2 linked regions of the Alligator mississippiensis genome follow. Each later gene encodes a partner of the first gene's protein in a complex. Links are inferred from orthologs where the notes say so. Each region holds a gene or a part of one and is shown on either strand. Other genes may lie near its edges.

What was found.
Region 2: STRIP2 (region 1) and STK24 share a complex: the UniProt entries of both Homo sapiens proteins name them as parts of the core of STRIPAK complex. The link is inferred for Alligator mississippiensis from reciprocal best matches to the Homo sapiens genes STRIP2 and STK24.

Annotation. Positions count from the first base shown.
Region 1 is NC_081827.1:5,105,699-5,115,938, forward strand, and holds the start of STRIP2 (striatin-interacting protein 2), read left to right. Parts: upstream 1-4,904; 5' UTR 4,905-4,933; coding exon 4,934-5,002; intron 5,003-7,857; coding exon 7,858-7,927; intron 7,928-10,240. UniProt on the Homo sapiens protein: Plays a role in the regulation of cell morphology and cytoskeletal organization. Required in the control of cell shape. Calmodulin-binding scaffolding protein which is the center of the striatin-interacting phosphatase and kinase (STRIPAK) complexes.
Region 2 is NC_081824.1:365,300,011-365,311,145, reverse strand, and holds the start of STK24 (serine/threonine-protein kinase 24), read right to left. Parts: upstream 5,089-11,135; 5' UTR 4,993-5,088; intron 3,199-4,992; 5' UTR 3,080-3,198; coding exon 2,987-3,079; intron 1-2,986. UniProt on the Homo sapiens protein: Serine/threonine-protein kinase that acts on both serine and threonine residues and promotes apoptosis in response to stress stimuli and caspase activation.

The sequences.
Region 1 (10,240 bases):
GGACTGTGAGACGGTTGATTTTTTCTTTTTTTCTTTTCTTTTATTTTTGGTCAGGGCGGGGGGGGAGGTGGAGGAAGCAAGTCGGAGGCAAAAAGGAAGGCTGGTTGAGTGAATTCGCTGCAAAGTCTCTGTCAGCTTCAAGTAACCCGCGATCGCTGTCCCCACTGGCATACACAGGTGTGGAGGGAAGCGGGCGAGACGTTACTCTGGGTTCCCGTTTTCTGCGTGGAAGCAAAATCCACGGCAGTCGCAAGAACCAGGCCTCAGTGTGCAGGGCCGGTTGGGGGGCTCCGCTCTTTACTTCTCCCACCGTTTGAAACCCAAACTAGCACCGCCTCGTTGGCTCTCGCTCTTGCTGGAGGGGTGCTACCGTGTTCGTGCCTCTCCCGGCGGGTCCCCAGGGTAGCGCTCTCCTTTCATTCTGCTGGTCCGGCAAGGCGGCGGCTCTGACCACGAGCCCCAGTGCTGCCGGAAGCTGCAGTCCAGGGGTTCAGTCGACAGCCCGAGCTGGGGACGCCCCTGCCCAGAATCGGGAGCCAGCAAGGCAGAGACGAGCCCGCTCTCAAGCAGTCCCTCTAGGGTTCCCGTCCATGGAGCACAAGACCCACCGATGCACCTGCTCAGCCGCTTTGCGGTACTTCTCTGCGGCTTACGACCAGTGCCACACTTCCACCAAAGGGATCTCCCTCCTGGACTGCGGCGTGGGGCCTCGAGCTGTCTCGTGGGAGAGCCTTGCTGCTCTGTTGACAAGCGCCGCCTCCATCTCGGGGTCAACCTTGGGGACGACACCCCCTGGGCGCAGTCTTCTCGCTGCCGTGGAGGGAGGCGGCAACGTTGATCGTGTCCAAGGACTGTTCTTGATGCTACGGATCCTTCTCCAGTCGGTATTTCAGCCCTCGCCTGGAGTCCTTGCCGTGTACAGCGACACCCGTTTAACAGAAACGCTTCCCAGACTCCCAGCGCTGGATCTGCCAGCGCCTTCTTTCCATAGTTCATCGCTGAACGAATTCTGGAAAACCTTTTTTGGTTATGAGAGCACCAAGCCCCAGCGCAATTACTACGCTACGGTCTCTGGCTTGAGGATTAGGTTTTCAGCTCAGAATCGCTGTCGTGTTTATGAGACATCGAGTCTCGAGGTGGGAGGGTCATGGAAGACAAGGCTGCCATCATCGCTTGTTCTGGCAGAGATGTCCCGCCTGGATAGTACGTACGATGCACCCAGACGCACGCCCCGCAAGATCACTGTTCGAATGGCCGTGTCTCATCGTACCGATCATCCTGAGAACATTGTTCCTCGTATCAGAACTGCAAGAACTTCAGCCGGCGCTTGCCAAACCTCCACGAGAAGCACTGACCTGAGCACCCAGGCCTTTATTCGTTGCTCTCCACCATGGTATCTGAGCCTCTCATCAGAGGAAGCTCTCTGGATCCTCAGCCTTCCTGAAAGAGGTTTCTGTGGTATTTTCTTTACACACTAAACCCCCCCAATGAACTGTGGTCTTACCTGCAGGGTGTAGGACTGTCGCCCCTAGAGATGACGACTGCTTCCTAGGCTGGCTCATCCCGCATCAGGATTGCTCCCTACAGCAAACTTGCCTCTCTTGCTTTTCAGTAAAACCTCAAAAAACCCACATGATGGAGCTTTCCTTCTAACGTGCTGTCGGAAACCCTCGGCAGCCACGTGTCAGGGACTCACGGCAGAATGATCAGCGATCGGGACGTTCCCTGAATCTTCTCTTCTTGGCAAATTATACTTGGATCGTAACATTTTTAGAAAGAGATCACCTGAAGTGTTTTCCTAAGGCAGGTTGGCCATATTCCATCACACCGGTCGAGTTGTCCAGTCTATAAGGACCTGACTTCGTTACAAGACTCATCCATTTGGTGTGTTTGCAAACGTGGGCTGAAATCTCGGTCCCCCGGGCCATCAGGGGCAGGCCTTCTGTTGACTCCATGGGAGCCAGGATTTCACCCTTAGGCTGCATGCTTTGGGGGGCAAAAGACCTGTGTTGCTCTTCAAGATCCTGGCATGTAGCGGCTGCCCGAGCGGCCAAGGAGGAAGGGACAGACCTAGAAGGGGAGCATGTCCCGGCAGTGCAACACACTGGTCGCAGCGCAGTATCCTGATAGCCAGGGACCGGGGAACACGCAACTCACATCCGATGTAGCTTAGACCGTGGTCTTGTCTCGGGTCTGACGGCACATCCATACATCCAACATGGCCACCTGCTCTTTATCTCACAGGGCTACGTCGGGCATGTGACACTGCTTGTTCAATGGGTGTTGGTTTTCGGCCCCGGTCTGCCTCTGCTCTGCAGGTCAACTTCTCACCGCTCGGGCCCGGGGTCAGTTAAGGAGCAATACGGTATTTCTGCAGCGACCGTTGCCCGCTGCCTCAGCCTCCCCAGGTGGGTGTCACGGCGCTGGTGTGAAATCCCGGCCTTGGCTAGCAACGGCTGACGCTGCTCTTCTCCCAGCACGCTCTCATCTGTGTTGGGCACGCATGTCCCAAACTGGGATAAAGACTGAGGCCCTTGGCTATACGGCAGCATGGCTGGCAGGGTTTGGGGCTGGCAGTGCATCTCACGTGGCCTGGAGCCCAGGGCACCCCACGGCCTGGCTCGTCAGCAGTCTCCCGTTGTGGGCAGCGGGCATCTGCTGTGCTGGCCGCACTTGGCACCAACTGAGCATGTGGCAACAGCTGATCTCCCCGAGAGCTGGTCTTTCACACCAGCGCGGCGGGACCGCCAGCCACCCACTACCTTATTCGTGGCACTGGGGACGCCGGCCAGCCATGTCATCTCTGGAGCGGAGCCGTGGGGGAGGGCAGCTGTGGGTCGCATCGGTCACGGCGGGAGAAGTAGGGTCCAAAGCCAGGCTGGTTCTGCCCCGGGGGAGACAGTGGTCCCATCCCCGCAGCTGAGGACAGTCGCTTCCCTGGTCCACGTCCGTCGGTAGTGTGGCCCGTGGTGGGGCTGTCCTCCCCGGAGAGCCTGTGCTGATTTTAAACCTATTTTATCTTCTGTGTAGATACAAGAAGGAAAAAATTAATGAATTAATAATGACACCAAATACTCCTAAATGACTTCTTTCCCCTTGAATCTTTTAAAAAGCTTTCTCTATGTGACTCCGCTTTTCCATAAGCTTTTCCGCTTGCTTGGCTTCGGATCAATCTGGGATCCTCCTCTCAGAGTTGTCCCCGGGGGGTTTCTTTGGGTTTCTTTTCTTTTTTTTTTAATGTAACAAATTCAAAAAGAAAAAAAAAGAGGGGGGGAAAGGAGAGCGGAGACACCAGCACGATGATCTGAGGAGGAGCATTCGGTTGTTGAACTTTAGAAACCAGGACAAAAATGAAATAATCTGTCACATCTACAGTCGGTGACGACATTGCGAAGCGTAACCTTTTCAAACGGATGTTTTAAATATTCATGTCTGAGTGATTGTATTAGAGCAGCAATAAAGACTCTGTAATCTCAAAACGCCAATAAAGCGTCGGAAAAGTGGCTGGTGCCTGGGCTGTGTTCACCGTGCACAGACAGCGGTGGGACCGTGGCCGGTGTCTGCCCCGGGCAGTCGAGCGCTAAAGAGGAGCCAAAAACCAGGGCTGAGAGGTGGGAACGGCAAGGGCCGCGCGGTCCCGGGGCAGCCGGACGTCACATCTGAGTCAACCCTGGGGCATGACGAGACTCCAGCCCCGCTCCCCTCGTCCCCTGTCCGGGCAGGGGGAGCAGAGCTGACTGTCTTGGCAGTTCCCGTGTCGGGGTGGCGGCTCCGTGTCCCCCTGGCAGGTTCTCACTTTCTCTGACCTGAGTGCCTCTCCCCATCCAGGCCCGGCACTGGGGGCACGTGGGACTGGGGGGCGGAAGGGAACCTAATGAGCAGTGACTTGGCAGCAATCTGTGCCGCCCGGGGCGCTGGCAGCCTTGGCTGCGGCCTGGGGGATCCTTTGCTGGGGAGTCTCCTGCCCCGGCCTGGCCAGGCTGGAAGGAGATGTCTCGTTTGACACAGGCCTGGCTTTTCCTGAGTTTCACCCGGATCGGCACGGCCATCTACACCCCTAGCCGTGCTGCTGCTCCTCCGCCAGCAGGGGGAGGGAGCGTGCAGCCTGGCCAGCAGTTGGGGCTGGGGACTGGGGAGGCCACCCTGCAGCGCAGTGCCGCGAGTGACACGAGCAGCGTCTGCGCGGCACGCGGGAGGTGAGGGAGGGACCACAGAGATCAGCGGCCAAAAAGGTTGCCCTTCCTCCCTCCACCCCCTCTATTAGGGACTGACCCGGGACAGCCCAGCTCCATCCCGGGGAAGCATTAGCGCCTTTTATTCTGGGCAGGGGAGGGACCAGACGCCTCTGCCCATAGGGTTGCGGGACCAGAGGCAGCTCCTGGCTCCAGCCCCGTGGGGGCAACTGGAAACCGTGCCCAATACCAGTGTGCCCTTCCCCGGCCCTGCCTGGACAGTCCCGTTCACCGCTCCTGTCCGCAGGGGGGCAGCGAGGGCAGCTGGAGGAGGAGGAGGAAGCACCAGCGGGGATGCCCCGAGCCCCCCAGTGATGCAGGAGTGGGGGGTCTGCGCGGGTGCGGTGGCACTGTGGGCTGGTGCTGGGGACCAGGCGTGGAGGGAGGTGGCAGGGAGGAGCCCGGGGTCCCTGGGCCTGGACCCAGCGCCTCGCCCCGCGCCTCCACGTGCCCTTCGCACCCCGCCCCTCCCCTGGCAGCCAATCGCCGCCAGGGGGGCGAGTCGCAGCCAGCCAATGGGCGCGCGGCGGGGCGCGGCGAAACCACGCGTTCCACTGCCCCGCCCCGTCCAGCGGCGCGGCCAACGGGCGCCCGGGGGTGTGTCCCCGCGGAGCCGCCCCCCGGCCAATGAGCGCGCGGGGGCGTGGCGGGGCCGCGGGAGCCGCCCCACGTGCGCGGCGGGCGCAGAGCGGCGCGGACACATGGAGGAGGCGGCGCCCGCCCGCGCCCACGGCCGGGACCTGCTCCGCGCCCCGCGCGCCGGCTCCCAGGTGGGTGCTATGCAACCTCCCCTGCCGTCGGGGGGAGAGAGCCGGGCCCCTCTTTCCGTGGGCTCTGGACCGGCTGCAAAGAGGGCAGGGGAGGGCAGGGGAGGAAGCGTGCTGAAGTCTCGGGACAGGAGCCGGGTGCGCGGCGCAGCCCGGCTGTGGCTGCGGGCTAACGAGGCCGCTGGATCAGTCTGGAGGCTGCCGGAGCGTGGGCTGGGAGGTCGCGTCCAGTCCAGCGCCCTGCCTGAGACAGGGTCAGCCCCGTCCAAACCCTCCTGTGCAAAGCACGATCCCCAACCAGAAGCAGAAAAGGGATTTGCTCGGGTCTGGGGTCTCTTGTTGGAAAGGCGAGGGCGGGCTGGGCGCCGCGTGCTTCACGCCGCTCGTTTAAAATATAGCCGGTACAGCAAGTCGTTGCCCCGGCTATAACAGTTCTCCGGCCGTGTTCGTGGCTCCAGATTCACGCCGCCGGGATTCCCATCCTAGCTTGAATCCCCCCCAGGAGCGACCGCAGGGTTTTGCTGGCAGCGGGTCCAGCCTGGCTCCTCGCTTCTGACCGCGCAAGTTGTTCACCCGCTTCACAGCCCTTTCCGTCCTGGCTCGGGCGGGCGAGCCTCCGATACAGCCCGTGGCGGTCGGCTTGTCACTAAAAGTCTGAATGCGAGTGGTTACGTGGTTACAATCGCACTTGGCGTTGGGGTAGGAGTGGGGGGAGGCGACTGAGGCTACATTTCACGAGCCAACTCTGCTCAAAAGCCTCCTCAGGCCAACGCAGATGCTCGCCGGGCCCGGAAACGGCAAGGCAAAGCCCGCAAGAGGGGTGCCGGGGACGTGATCGTTGTGAATAGCGGCAGTGTTAGTTCTTCCTCCGGGTGCCGGGTCCTCGTTAATGCAGTGCCTCGGCGTGGTGACCTTGGACCTCTTCTTGCTGTGCCGGTGATAACGGCTATCACTGCTATTCGAGTGCGACTGATACTGGACATCAGTTTCTGCATGTAGGGATCAGGAAACAGGTGGGGGTCCACGTTGCCTCCTCTGTCGGCCGAGGGGCGCAATCACGTTCTGTTGCTCGTTCTGCACCCTTCGTAGCACGGTGCCAGGCTCGCCTGTCACAGGCCGTACCCTCCCAGGACATTAGGCACGTCTACACGTGCACTTTACTGCATAGTAGATTGTTTTACTGCGCATTAAAGCATCACATAAACACTGTGACGTTATGCTAATAGCCTACTGCGCATTAAGTGTCACTAAAAAAAGCATGCAAACGTGCTCCTGCGTATTAGCACAGCCGAACATGCGTTCATGTAGCCCTGCACCTTGGAGGTACTAATTTACTGCACATGAGGAAAGGCGCATTAATGCAAGTGTAGACGCACCCATTAAGTTTAGCCTGGCAGACTGCATGTGCCGCTTAATGCAGTCCCGTGTTTTTCAGTTCTTCTCAACTCTGAATAATTTTTTGGTTCCCTTCGGCTGCTATTTGTGCTGCCTCGTGTCCTCTAGCGGGTCGCGTGCACATGCTCACGTTGCCTTCCTGCACTTGTTTCTTCAGATCCTTTGCAAAAGGTTCATGCCCCAGTTCCTTGATTTGGCCGGCAGAGTTTCCACAGGGTAGAGACCTACTTGCAGCCTGAGCAGCTGTGTTCTGCAGAGGCGAAACGATAGCCTCGGGACACTGTAGCATGGGTGGGGAAAATACCCAATGGCTGGTATTCGACTAGCAGGTGCAAATCTACCTGACTTCAGACTAGCACAGCTGCCTGCCTCTCCCTGGTACGACACCTACACGGTGCATCGTCACTGCGGGGCCCGGGAAATACGGGAGATGTCTGTGGACAGCCACTGCAACATGGCTGGAAACGGAGGGAGAGTAAAGTCACGGCTCGGTAGCGAGGAGGGAAACGGGAGGACACCGTGCCTGGTTGTGACCCTTGTTAACGACTGGCTCTTGCATTTTGTATTGTGATTTCAGGAATCTTCCCCAGCTCGCGTGCCCTCGTACGCTTGTATCTACTAATATTTTCAATTAAAAAAAAAAAGACAGACAAAAAAACCCTTTAGTGCTAGGTTTTCTGTCTGCACGTGCCCTGAGCGGTCCCTTGTGCTGCCAGTCGCCCCTCCGCAGGGTTCCTCATGGAGCATAACACACCAGCCTTAATTTAGGAAAGCATCCCAAGTATTTGTATCTGCATCTATAGATAGGTGGGTCTTCTCTGGTGGTGGAAGTGCGGGCAGGCAGGCGTTCAGGCACCACCTTGGGTGGCATTTGTAGCATGGTTCAGAGCATTGTCGGATGCGTAAAAGAAAGAAAAGTCCCTTTTAAAAAAGCTTTTAAAACTTTTTTCTTTAAAAAACGTCTCTCTCTAAACAGAGCTAACTACCGCTTCCTTGTAAAGAGCCAGGCTCTCGGACAGGTTGGAGCAGCCCGGGATGCCCACGTGCCACTATTAAATGTAGGAGTTGCAGTCTGGAACCGCTGGGTCCTTGTTTGGGTGATAGCAACACCCAAGTGGCTTTGGAAACGCGATCAAAATAGCCTTTCCGACCAGGCGGTGTATGGTAAATGGTCTGCACGCGTTCCCTGCCCCGGCCCTAGAGAAGAGCTCCCGTCTGCTGGGGTGATTGCTCCCTGGGGCCAAGGTTTGATCAACTTTCATGGATGCTGCAAAAGTCAAACGGGGAGATCCATCCTGATGTAGCCTTAGCATCCTCTCTCGACTCTCCTGGCCTCGTTCTTGGGACATCCCTGGCTGCTCAGTTTGACACGCGCATCGATTAGCAGAATCGTGATCGCTCCAGTTCCTCTGGATGGGAAACGGGCCCTGACGCTGCATTAACAAAGACTCTTTCTGCCGCAGGGTTCAGTGGACTACCCCAGCCTGGAGTTCGAGTATGGGGACACCGACGGCTACACGGCTGAACTGTCAGGTAAAGAGGCACGCGGGGAGCCGAGGCTTTTGCTGCGCACGAGTTCAACTTCGCTATTAATAGCTGCCTGCTGGGTAGACAGCGAGGCTGGGGTTGGTGGGAGATGCATATTTAATAATATCATCCTATATTAATAGAGCGCCACTCACCCCAGAGGATTGCAGAGTGCTCTGCAAACCACGCGCAGCAGAAGTGACTTCCTCCCCCGCTGAAACGCAGCCATTCGCGGGGCGGGACAGGAGAGCTGCGAACGGTGCCGCTGGTTTGGGTGGGAAGTGAAATGCGTGAGGCGTGAGGGCCTTGTAGCCAAGTTGCTGGAGATATTTGAATGCCCTGATGTCACGTCGGCAGTGGCTTGTGGTGTGCGGGGCCCTCCTCTTCCACCCCTCCCTGACCAACCTGGATTCATCCATGTCTGAGTTCACTAATCATTAGAGCACATGCACGTGCACATACACATACACGTGCGCATGGCACCTGTGGTGTCTTGAATAGTGCAAGGCGTCTGGGAAGGATTCGGGCAAGAGAAATCGGCCTCTTCCCCGATCCCCTCTCTCCTGTATGCGAAGAGCTCACATTGGTAATGTAGTTTCGTGCCAGTCTGTTACGTGCTTTGCAGCTGGAACAGGGCTGGGATCTCTGCTGGGGCTCACGCTGACGGCCGATAGTCCAGCTTTCCTCGGTTAGCAATGCGTGGGCGACGCGTGCTCTTGGCCGCGGTGGAGGGCTGAAACGGGCACTTCCAGACCCAAGCGCCAGCACAGTTACCGCTTGCAAAACTCCAGGTTCAGCAGCTGGGGGATGCAAGTGCTTGTATCCTCTCCGTAGCAGCAGAGAGAGGGCTCGTAGCATCCGCTCATCAGTGCTTTCCCCAGGCATCAGCACTCAGGGGACCGAGACGCCCATCCAGTAACCAGACGCTGCTTCATTAAACCACATCGCTACCCTTCTGCAGCAAAGATCCCTCTCTTGCTGATGCTAGATTGCAGTTCAGGTGGTCGAAAGCTCTTGGAGCAGGATCATCGGGGACATGGTCCCACGTCACAGTGAGGTCGGGCCTTTCTCTACTTTGTGTCTGCTGCTCTAGTGAAAATGCAGCCTGTGGATGTGTGGGCTCAGGCCCAGGCAGTGAAAGGCTGGGGCATCCCCTAACATCCCTGAATCTAAGGGCTCCACCATTTTTGGAGGAAAATAACAGCAAGAGAGCAGGGAACCCAAAGCACGTTCGCTGCTGTTGCATGTACGGCAGAGCATATTTGCGGCTGCTGCGCGTACAGCAGAGTCTGCGGAGATTTCGGTACGCTGGGGTGTTTCTCCTGCTTTCCAAAGCTTCGGCCTCCAGACCAGGAGGATGCCGGCGGAGGGTGCTGCACTGTCAGGCGTGCCTGTACAGCAAAAGGCAAGGTTGGCGGCAACAGCTTGGGCTTTCCCCTATGCTAGCAAGCAGAGACCCAACTCCGAGAGGCTGGCTATGTGTTCAGGTCACTACTGCCCGAGAGACCCTGTGTCACTGCGTCTCCCCTGCTGCCGATACCTCTGCTGCAGTCGCCCCTTTGCTTTGCTGGCAAACTTCCCAGCTCCTTTGCAGAGGCTGCTGTACGGCCATCAGAGAGCAACAGCTTTTTGGGACGGGCTGAGAAGTGCCAGGCTTCCTTCCTTCCTCATTCCTGGACTGCCTGTTGCTGTTGATTGGGGTTTATCGTAGCTGCGCCCGAGCTGAGCTGCCAGCGGCATGCGGTGCTCCTGTCATGAGACGGTGCCCGCGCCCGGAGCGTCAGCGTTTCATGTCTGTGTTTCACTCGCTGGCTCGATCGTCACCCCCACGCGCCAAGTCCGGCTGGCGGGCTCGAGCAGCGCGCTTGGGTGGGGTGACTGGTGATTAGCAGGAGGAGGGAGCGGTTTGCTAGTTGTGAGGTCACTTTTGCTCGGGAAACGCTGAATGTTGTGGTCAGGCCGTTGTAGTCAGGATAAGCTGGGGCTGGGGAAGTTGAACGGTAGGTCATGCCCGCTGTTCCTGTGCCTCGTGGCTGTTTCTCCTGGGCACGAGTCAGGAAGCCTTGAGCACGCTCTGAGCTGCGAGCTATAACGGGGTCGCTATTTCGAGCTCCCCACATGCAAGTGTAAGCTGTGTTGGCCGGTGGTATATGTAGCACATTGTAGTTAAAGAGCTGTGCTTCCACCGCTGGGGCCAGAAGAAAATAGCTCCCCCTTTCCGTCCTCTCCTGGCTCTCAAACACGCAGTAAATCAGTTTTAAATAACCTCCTTGGAGCTGTCTCCGTGCCAGGCCTGTCTCTGTTTCTTTTTCCCCCGTG
Region 2 (11,135 bases), on another chromosome or scaffold:
GCCCCACACTCGCGCCTGCCTGACCACTTGCTACCACTTGCCACTTCTCTTAACTGCCACAGCCGCTGCCCTAGCCCCAGGACACCAGCAGGGGCTCCATGCCTCACATTCACGTACTCCTGCTGCCACTCATCTCCCCACCTGCAGCCACCATTTCCCCATTGTCCCACCTGCCACTGCCGCTTCTCTGCACCCCGTCTGCCTGCTGGCTGCTCTAGCACCACGTGCCAGAGCATTATAACGAAACTCGAAGAGTGCTAAGTCGAATCAGGTATGCATTTAAAGTGAGTGCTATACTGAAATAGCACTAAGCAAAACCGTGTTAAGTGCGGGTTGCCTGTACAATCAAAGACAGTCGCTTCCCCAGTTTGCCTTGATCTTGATCATACAAAAAACTCATAAAGACAGAACCCTTGTATCCATGTCAAGCCTCAATGACCTCAGTTCCACGCAAACCAGATGTCACCATGCTGAGTCGCTTTGAGAACCAGAACCTTGATGTACACAAAACACGAGGAATGCAACAGGAAGTTGGAGACAACCACAACAGGAACACATGACTGCAGAAACTAAATGATGATTATAATTTTTCAGGTTAAAAGGGAAAGCATATTTAAAACTACATCAGGGATTAAGAAATGTGTGACTACAAATGAGCTGTCCCCCCCACCAAGAATTAGTCCACTCTGTTCTCTGTTTCTACAATTATAGGCTTATTTTTAAATGCAGTCTGCTATGGCCTGCTTTTATAACACTACATGCAGCTTTATATAGTTACCTTTTGCTGAATAATTAATCAGGAAGAGAAAGCCCAATTCAATTCCCTGGTTTCTAAATTCTGGAAAAAGAAGAGAACTGCAAACATGAAAAACATCACTTAACCTGATACCTTTGGAAGTGAGAGAAGAGGACCTGAAAAAAATTCAGTTAGCCCTATTCAGACTGTTCAACTGTGATGTTCAACAGTTGGCTCATGAGCAACATCATCCACAAGACCCACCTATGCTGCTTGCTGTCACAGGAAAATAAGAAGTTCAAACTGAGGTTGATAGGGAAAGAAGAATCTGGTGTTGCCCATAGCACATTACTTACTCAGTACTACTGTCCTTTGGCCAGTGAAAGTTGGCACCGCTGCTGCCACATAGCTGAGATATTTATTTTGCTGCTGAAATCAAAACCAAGATAAACAGCTTCCATATAGCTGCAGGGGGGGAGGGGGGGGCCGCCAACCTGGAACCTGCAGGCCTGGCCCATGGAGCCATTTTACCTGGCCCACAGTGTCATGGGGCTTCAGTGGTGTTTTGAGGGAGAACGAGGCTTTCACCTGTGTGGCAAGAAGAGATGGTAGCAGCAGCACTGTGGCAGTGGGGGGAGAGCAGTGACAGCAGCAGTGTGAACTAGGGTGGAAGCAGCCCAAACTCAACACTAAGATCTGTTCAAGCAGCACCCCCACTCTCAAACTACTGACCCCTGATGTAAGGTCTTGAGTTACAATAGAGTACAGCTCCAAAGATAAAATTGCTAGGGCTTTACTCAGTAGATTCCTATGGACTTTTTACTGAACAAGCCTCCCAAAACTTCCAAAGGCAAGTAAGAAAGAAGCTCTCTCAGCCCACTAGGTGCAAAAACCACATAAATAGAAAGGAAGGAGACTAGAAAGAAGCATACTGATGATTAATTTTGAAGACGAGTCAATCAGAATCTGCTGTATATTAGATACACATTCAAGCCAAACCTGCACTCCTACTCCAGTTCTAGCTCATACCCCCTTACCAGCCATACATACAAGCTATATCATAGAATCATAGAAGTAGGGTCAGAAGGGACCTTGTAGATCTTCAAGTTCGACCCCCTGCCTGGGCAGGAAGAAAAATGGGCTCAAATGACCCCAGCCAGGTAGACATCAAGCCTCTTCTTAAAGACCCCCAGGGTAGGAGCCAGCACCACTTCCCTTGGAAGTTGGTTCCAGATCCTAGCCGCCCTAACTGTGAAGTAGTTCTTACAGATGTCTAATCTAAACCTACTCTCCAACAACTTGTGGCCGTTATTCCTTGTTATCCCGGGAGGCGCTAGGGGAAACAAGGTCTCCCCCAAACCCTTCTGGTCCCCCCCAGTGAGTTTATAAACGGTCACCAGGTCCCCGCTCAGCCTTCTCTTGTGAAGGCTGAACAGGTTCAGGTCCCGTAGCCTCTCATTGTAGGGTCTGCCCAGCTGTCCCTGGATCATGCGGGTGGCCCTCCTCTGGACCCTCTCAATGTTGTCCATATCCCTCTTGAAGGGGGTGCCCAGAACTGGACACAGTACTCCAGCTGTGGTCTGACCAGCGTCACGTACAGGGGGAGGATCACCTCCTTGGACCTACTTGAGATGCACCTGTGGATGCACGATAAGGTCCAGTTAGCCCTGCCGACTGTGACCTCGCACTGTCGGCCCATGTTCATCTTGGAGTCAGTGATGAGGGGGGACGAGGTATGAGGGGCATGTGTCCCCCCAATTTGTGCAGGGATGAGGAGAGGCTGCCTGTTGTGGGCTCATGGCCAGGGGCCGCGCCTGCCTCTTACTGGCAGGAGGCGTAGGCCAGAGCTGTGCTCAGGGAGGGCAGCACTGGGAGGAGGGGCTACGGAGTGGGCTACAGTCACCCCAAAATCCAGCGTAGCTCCCCTCCTGGCACTGCTGCTGCCCACCCCTTCCCAAGTGCAGCCCCGACCCAGACCCCTGCGGGAAAAGGCCAACACAGCCCCTGGTCCTTACCAGCAGGCTGCACGCCATCACCCCATGCACAAATCCAGAAGGCACATGCCTCCATGCCTCCCCAGGTGGTGCGCACAGCAGTGGGAAGTCGCCCTCCCACCCCCACCCCCAAAATGTGCCACCCATGGCTCCACTCCATCCTCCGCCGCCTCCCAGCAGCCCCTGCCCCACTCCCTCCCTTCCTATGGGGGCCTCAAACTGGCTCCCCCACAACCCTTCCCTCCCACAGACTTACCAGCTGGATGATGGTCTCCAAGCTGCCAGGCTGCATTCCTGGCTGTGTGCATGCTGTGGCTGTGCGTAAGCAGGCAGCATTTATCAGTGGCATTATTGGCTACCCCAGCCAAAAAAAGCGAACTGTCGATAATGTCAATTTTCCCTTTATCAGTGCTGATCAGATAAGGACCAACATATCGATGCACCTCTATTTGTTGCAAAAGTCAGTACCTACATAGTTAATGCAGCATGGGGTCAAAAGGAGAAAAAGGATGATGTCATTCTTTAAGCAGTTTATTGACACCTGGAAACATTTAATTCCCCTGCTCCCACTCTGCAATGGTGCTAGAAAATCACTTAAACCAAAACAGACAAGTTTGGGTGCTCGGTTCTAACACCACCCAATTCAAAACCTCATACACTGAACACAGGATCATAGAAAAGTAGGGCTGGAAGCAATCTCATGAAGTCATCTAATCCAGCCCCCTGCTCAAGGCAGGATCATCTCTAACTAAACCAACTCAGCTAAAAGTCCATCTAACTTCTAGAAATTTTCAGGGATGAAGAGCCCACGGTTTCAATAGGAACCCCATCTGAATGACTGATCATCCACAGTGCAAAATTCTTCCTAATCTCCAACCTAATTTTCTTCTGCTGCTGTTTGAAACCATTGCTCCTAGTCCTGTCCTAAAAACCTAACCTGAGAAGATCTAGTTTCTCTAAGTAACCTTTAACTTGGTCTTCTGCTACTCTAGGCTGTCTCCTTTCCTATCTTTGCTGCCAGCTGTGTTTGTCATCTGGTAATGTCTTCACAAAGTAGGACAGCAAGTAAACAAGGTCACAGAATCATAGGGCTTCTGTGGTGTTTTGGGGAAGAAGGGGGCTTTGCCTGTGTGGCAGGAAGAGATGGTAGCAGCTGCACTATGGGGGAGTAGGGAGAAAATGCACACACTTCAGACTTCTCTGCATTATCTGTACCTGGATTGCCTTCAGTAAGGGACCTATACTTCCTTTGGTGTTCCTCTTACTATTGACATTCATTTGCCCTCTCTAGCTGCATCTCTAATCATGCTCTGGCCTTCCTCATTTTCTCCCTACATGCTCTTCCCTACTAACATGCCCAAGTTTCCACTTTTTATAGGATTCCTTTTTGAGTTTCAACTCACTAAAGAGACTGCTGTCTAGCCGGGATGGTCTCCGCTTGCACTGCTCATTCTTCCACTGCATCAGGAAGCTTGTTTCTGCAGCCTTAATACAGTCTCCATAAAATACATCCAGCTCTCCTGGACTCCCTTTTTCCCCTCAGACTTGCTGTCACAAACACCATTTTGGTTTGGAGGTTTATAGGGTGTCATGATGAAAGTATTTAGGTACTTTTCTGATTTTGAATGTGGTTTAATAAGAGGAACTTAGGAATGCCTAATTAAGGAGGAAAAAGGTAGATTCTACTGTGCTATGGCAAGCACACACACTAAAGCAAAAACAACTGCCACTCCCAGACATAAGCAGAATGTTATTGGGTCTGGCACCCAAGGCATTGTCCGCCTACAATGGAGAAATTAACTCCTTTATAGCAAAGGCACTTGAGAGAAATGGCCTATCAGCCAGAGGAATGCCAGATGTCCCAGGGAGAAAAGTTTCCAAGTTTCCAGAGGATTCTGGATGAGAAACTGGGACTATGCTTGGTGGGGGGGGCAGTAACATGGCTACGGTCTTTGAATTTTCTCAGGCCTTGGAAGAGTCTAGGTCCCCAGCAATCAGGGCTGGCAGAATTAGCAGGACGGATGAACCCTTTATATAATAAATTATTTTGTTGTTTTGCTCCTTAATGACTGCCTGTGGCACAGTGTGATCACCAGGCAGGTATTCCAGGCTAGCCCATTCCATGGAAAGGGGGACCTAAAAGTGTCTGCACAATCCAAAGGGAGGACACCTCGAGCTGGCAGAGACTCCCCTGCTGTATTTGTGAGGTCTGGTATGAGGGCAGTGGAGCTGAGGATTTCAAGTAGTTATCCCAAAACAAACCTTGGTCTGTTCCCAGGAACAAATAGTGGGACATTTACAGATACCACTTCAGTTTGTGCTTTTCTTAACTTCCAAGTACTTGGTTTAAGAAGTGAACTGAAGAATATTATCTAAAAAATAATATACACAAATATTTGTACTGTTCTTAAAAAATCATGTCTAAACAGCATTTAATAAAAAAAACCCCACACATTATTCCCTACCCAGAAAATTTTGCCTCTAAAAGAAAGCAAACTTATACTAAGATAAACTGATTGCTACCTCTTTTCTATTTAAAAGGAAAACTTTGCATTATGATATGAAGATGAGGTATATGAATTTATTATTTATTTAAAAAGGAAAAACACATCGTTTTTCTCCTTGGAAAAATCAGCAACATTTTTTAACCAAAGATAAGCCTACCTTCTTTAAAAATAATCAATCATTCAAACGTGAGTAGATGCCTTTTTTCACCCTCAAATTACCATATTTAAGACAAGGCTTAAAAAAGCCCCTCATCTTACATTCACATACAAGTAAACCTCATTAAATATATTGCCTATCACTGAACTGCTGCCAAAAGCAGTATAGGCTCAGTAATGGAATCCAGCTATGAAGCTGATTAAATGCAGCCAACACTGAGCATGACTATAAAACACATGGCCCACATTGGACAAACATGCTCATGGGAACCGTGTGGTTGTGTGTTCCCTCCACAAGAAACTGGCACTGGGCTTAAAGGTACTGCAATACCAGGCTGGCACCAGGAGGGCCAGAGCCAGCCGTGACCTTTGGTGCCAAAAATGCTATATTTGAACTTAGCCAAAAAGGCTGAGGATGAGTTACCACAACCCATCTCAATAACATTTACTAGCGCCCCACCGAGCACAGTCAGCACTGATGGGGACTGTATTTGGTGAGCCACTACACTGCATGCTTTTTACTCTTCACTCCCACAACTGAGTTGCCCCTTTCTTTCCCATTTCCAATTATCTGTTTCTTCACCAGCCTTAAATATCTGGCAAACATCACCAAACAGGGCCCAAACAGTTCACCCAGATTCCCTGTCACCCCCTCTCTCAGCTTGCTGTATATTAGCATGGCCCTATCCTCCATAAGGTGAAGTTGAACCATGTTGCCTTCTGCCTCAACTTCACATAAATTTTGGAGGATCCCAGGACTCCCAACAAGAACACCTAGTTCTAGTTGTGTCAGGGTTAATTAGCACACGGATCCTTTCTCTGCCTGGGGAGGTGAGGTTTCTGAGTACTTCCAAGTACTCAGTGAGAGCAGGGCCTGATGTGGGGCTGGGGAAAGAGGTGCAAGAGGAAGAAACTCACAGGAAGCAGAGTGAGGCACCCAGCTATCTGACCCCCAAGATCTATTTTCCCTGCTGCAGCACAGGGTGGGGAACAAATTCAAGCCAGACCTCCAATAATTAGATTCTACACCTGGAAAATTATAACAAATTTATAAGTTTAGCGTCTATAGAACCTAATTATTGAGAGATCATCTTATATTTGAGTAAATATGGTATTTGCAGATGGCCTGTAATTTTGATAACCGCTACTATGACAAATTAAATGTTATAATTGAGGCTTTACAATTTAGGAATTCACACTTACAGCATGTGGGCAGAGACTGTACAAGTTTCTGGGTCTCTATTATTTCACATAATACCACCTTTATACTATCCAGAGCTCTTTACCTACAAAGCAAAAGCTTTATTTTACCATTGACATCAAGCATAATACATACATGTATAATTTTGCTCATGTAAGTGTTTATCCTACGAGCCTAATCTGAAACATTGTCTTTAAATTTGCAGTTTTTTATGAAACAATAAATTTATCTTATGCCTTTTATGAATTCCCATTTCATCCATCACATTCAAATAGTCTATAGTACACATTACATCTTCTATTACTGGAAAAAAGGGAAAATCAAACACACTGAACCACAAAACTGTTCCTTTAAAAAAACGAGTGATTTCAAAGGTATGTACAGGAGATGGACGGACACTCAGGCCTAGAAGCTGGCCCCAAAGAGAGATCTCCAGTTTATAAGGAGGACTGGAGTGAGGGGACACAATCTGAAGGGTTAAAAAAAAAGAGAGAAAAAATAAACAAACCCTGCCATGCATATGTTGTACAAACTATTTTAACGTGTTCTTTATTACTTCTTATCTATTTTCACACTGCCACATTGACCAGATAGTCACCAGTGAAGGACACATGAATGTGAAGTTTTAATTTCAAACCTCTGGTGTCTGAAAAAACACATACTGGATAGCTAGAAAACCTATAAAAATCTACAGTCACACACTGATACAGACATATCTATATATGTACACATACATGTTTTTATAGGCTTTCCAGCTATGTTTTTAAATATATTGCAGGGGGGAAAGAAGAGAGATACATATGCCTTCCAGCTATCCAATACATGTTTTTAGATATAGCTATACATGTTCATGTGTATATGCATACACGCACACATATACAGGGTACTCCTGACTTACCATCATCCTGGTTAATGCTGTTTCATTTCTATGTTATTGAGCTGTTAGAGAACATACTCGTTTAAAGTTGTGCAATGTTTGGTTATAACGTTGCTTGGCCGCCACCTGCTAGTAGGTAACTACTGTGACATAACTGGATTCGGTTAACACGGTTTCACTTAAAGTCGCATTTTTCAAGAACATAACTACGATACTGAGTAGCTGTAGCCTGTAAACACACACACACACACACACACACACACACACACACACACACCCCAATATATAACATGTATATACCTAAAAACATGGCTAGCTGGAAAGCCACAAACACATATGCACACTTTATTGTCTTTCCAACTATCCATGTTCTTAGATCCAGATACATATGCATGCATGTGTATATATGTATGTATACATATGTATATATCCAGGTGTCCAGTCAGGGTGTCTAGACTGTGAAATAATCTCCCTCCGTAAGTGGTGCAATCACCTACCCTGGAATTCTTCAAGAGGAGACTAGACAATTACCTTGCCCCCGTTATTTTTTCTGCCAGGTGCAAGCGGCTGAACCCAATGATCTTCCAAGGTCCCTTCCAGCCTTACAATCTACAAATATTGGGGGGGGGGGGGTGCAGACAGACAACACATATGTTCATGTGTGGGGGAGGACTTTCTAGTTATCCATGTTTTGGGTGTGTTAATGTGCATCTGTGTAGGCTTATAGGATTTCTAACATACATGCACACCTTACTGACTTTCCAGATATCCACGTTTTTAGCCAGACAAATAAATAAATAAATAAATAAATAAATAAATATATACACACACACACACATACATACATGCATATGGGGGGAGGGGTGTGTGTAGGCTTTCCAATTGTCCATGTTTTTAGAGATGTAGATAAATATGTGTGTGTGTGTGTGTGTGTGTGTGTCCACACACACACATACATACACAGAGTATCTAGTTGTGCAGACTTACAGGCTTTCCAGCTTTGATACACAGACACAGGCACAAAAACATCTGGGCGAGCTGAAGCCGGGACCAAGCAGGAGCAGGGGGAGGAGCAGGCATCCCCCGCAGCACCACCCCGTCGGGGGAGCGGGAGCAGTGACGTCACGCGGGCTCGCCCAAGCCGGGGCTCGACCCCGCGGGCCGTTGGGCGGACGTACCCCCCCACAAGAAGGCCCTGAAGGTCACGATTCCCCTCCTTCTCCTTAGGTCGCCTGCCTGCGGGGAAAACCCTGCCCCGCTCACTGGGCCAGGCCGGGCCGAGGAGCCGTGGGACTCACCTGCATCCCCGGCAGGCCCGACTGCACCGGCGAGTGCGCCATGGCGGCGGCGGCGGCTCCGGGTGTCCCGCTCCGCTCAGCTCATCGTCCAGCCCCGCGCCCCGCCGGGCCGGGTCGGGCGGTCACGGGTGCTGCAGCCGCTGCGGCGCCCGCCCCATCCCCCGCGCGGCGCGGCCGTTCCGGGTCTCGCGCGGGCCCCGCCGGCAGCACGAGAACAGCCCGAAGGGGGAGGGGAGAGAGGCGCGGCTTCGGCCGCGCGCCCCGCCCCCTGCTACCTGCCGGCTGCACCAGGCCCCACCCCCGAGACCTGCCCGGCGCCGCTCCCAGATCATTCAGAGTGGAAGCACGGGAGGGGTGACCTCTCCGACAGACCCTGTCCGCGCCTCTCCCGAGCGCGGGGGCAGCCGGGGGGGGGGGGCCGCTGGGGCAGCGCATGCGTAGTGACGCGACCCCGTTCCTTGGCGGCGGTTGGGGGTACCCGAAGCCCTGCCCCCCTCCCACGGGAAGACGCCGTCTTGGGGTGGAAGAGATGCCCCCCCCTCCCTCCCAGTACCTGTCTAATAAACAGGGCTCCTGTTTTTTTCTGATTGAAACAATATCCCTAATTTTGGGATTGCAAAAAGTAACCTAAAATCCACATTTTTCCGTGATTAAAATGATACACCAAGGCATGATGGGGGCATTATGAGGGCCCATGAAGGGACTGCTTGGGCGGGCCTGTGGGGAGCATGTGTGTCCTGCTAGATAGATATTTTTAGCAGGACACACGTACTCCCCACACAGCCATGCTCAAACAACCCCTGTGTGGGCCCTTGTAGTGCCCCCATTGCCCCATAAGGGGTATTTGGCTGGTGTACCCCTCACCTCCCTTCACAACCTCCTTTTGTGCACACAAAGGGCTGGGAGGGGTGGATCTGGGGGCAAAGACCACTAAAGAAGGCTGGAGGGTGGGTCCAGAGGAGGCTGACCAGCCCCCTGGGGGCACTTATGACTGCCCCTGTGCCCTGGTGGGGTTGGGAAGCCAGTCCAGGGAAGGCCCTTGGCATGAATGGAAGGAGGCCTGCAGGGCAGGGAGGACTGGGCGCCCTGCCCCTGCCTAACAGGCGGATGGAGAGGCCCTTGCTGAGCAGGTGGAGATGGAGCCCACTGGCTGAGGGAGACCATGGCGCATGGGCACAGCAGCCATGAGAACAAGACTATGGCATGCGGGCACGACAGCCCCTATGGACTGGCAGGCCTTAAGACGCAGCCTTCTTGTAAAGATCAGACAGAAGCCACCCGCAAAGGGGCTTTTGAGAGGTAATGGAGAATCCCCAAACCCCTGGTAAACTGGCCCCCTCAGTCACCGATCCAACTGAGCACGAAGCCAAGGGCAGCCTGAGGGTGCACTGTGGGCAAAATCAGCCCTCCATTACAAACAAGCCCAGCAGCAAAGGCTACTTGGTAGCGCTGAGGGGATATTGTAGCCATGACAGGCCTGGATTGTGCAAAAAGCAAGGGTTGTTATGGGCAATATCTTTTATTGACTGAACTGCACTGTTGAGGATAGATTTAGACAAGCTTTGAAATGCAAGGCATTCATTTGGTTGTGTAAGAGTAGTGGTGTAGCCGGGATTGTCCAGAAATTATGTGAGGGGAGGATTTCTTGGAGTGATCTCTTTTATTGGACCAACTGTGTAGCTGGGATAGAGTTAGACAAGCTTTCGAACGCAAGACATTCTTCATCGGGGTAATCAGAACAAGCATCTAATGAAGTAAGCTTCCGCCCACAAAATCTCATGCTACATCTGCATCTACATCTATCTTAGTCTATACAGCGCATGTCTAACCTGCTTTCAGAACAAACCGGGCACCACATAGTAAACATGCCACAACTTTTTTTCGCTATGTTTTGTGCCTGTCTTGTTCTGGTCACAGGAGTTTGAAAAAATATTTAGAAACTTAAAAGGCATGTATATTTTTTCTCATGTATTAATTTTTTCTAAAGAGAAGCCCCACTTTTCCTATCTTTAACTTAATCTAGTATGAATTAGCTAGTAACAAACATCAGAAGTATTAATTGCGCTCGCATTCTGCGTATGCACAACAGGTCTCTATTGCATGGCATTCTGGGCAGGATTGGTACTTTTGGGGGATGGTTTCTTTTTTCTTAACAAAGCTCTAATACTTCAACTATTTGCACTGGTCCTTTGAATTTTGATAGAGTGAATGCTGATAAGTTAGATTTGTCTTTTTCTTGTCCCATGAAAAGTCCATTTGGAGTGAGTGTAATTATAAAACATTAATAATCACCATTTCCATCCCCTCGCCTGTGTTTCTCAGGAAGCTTTGAGCAGCATGCCAGACTATTTGCTTATTGCAAACAT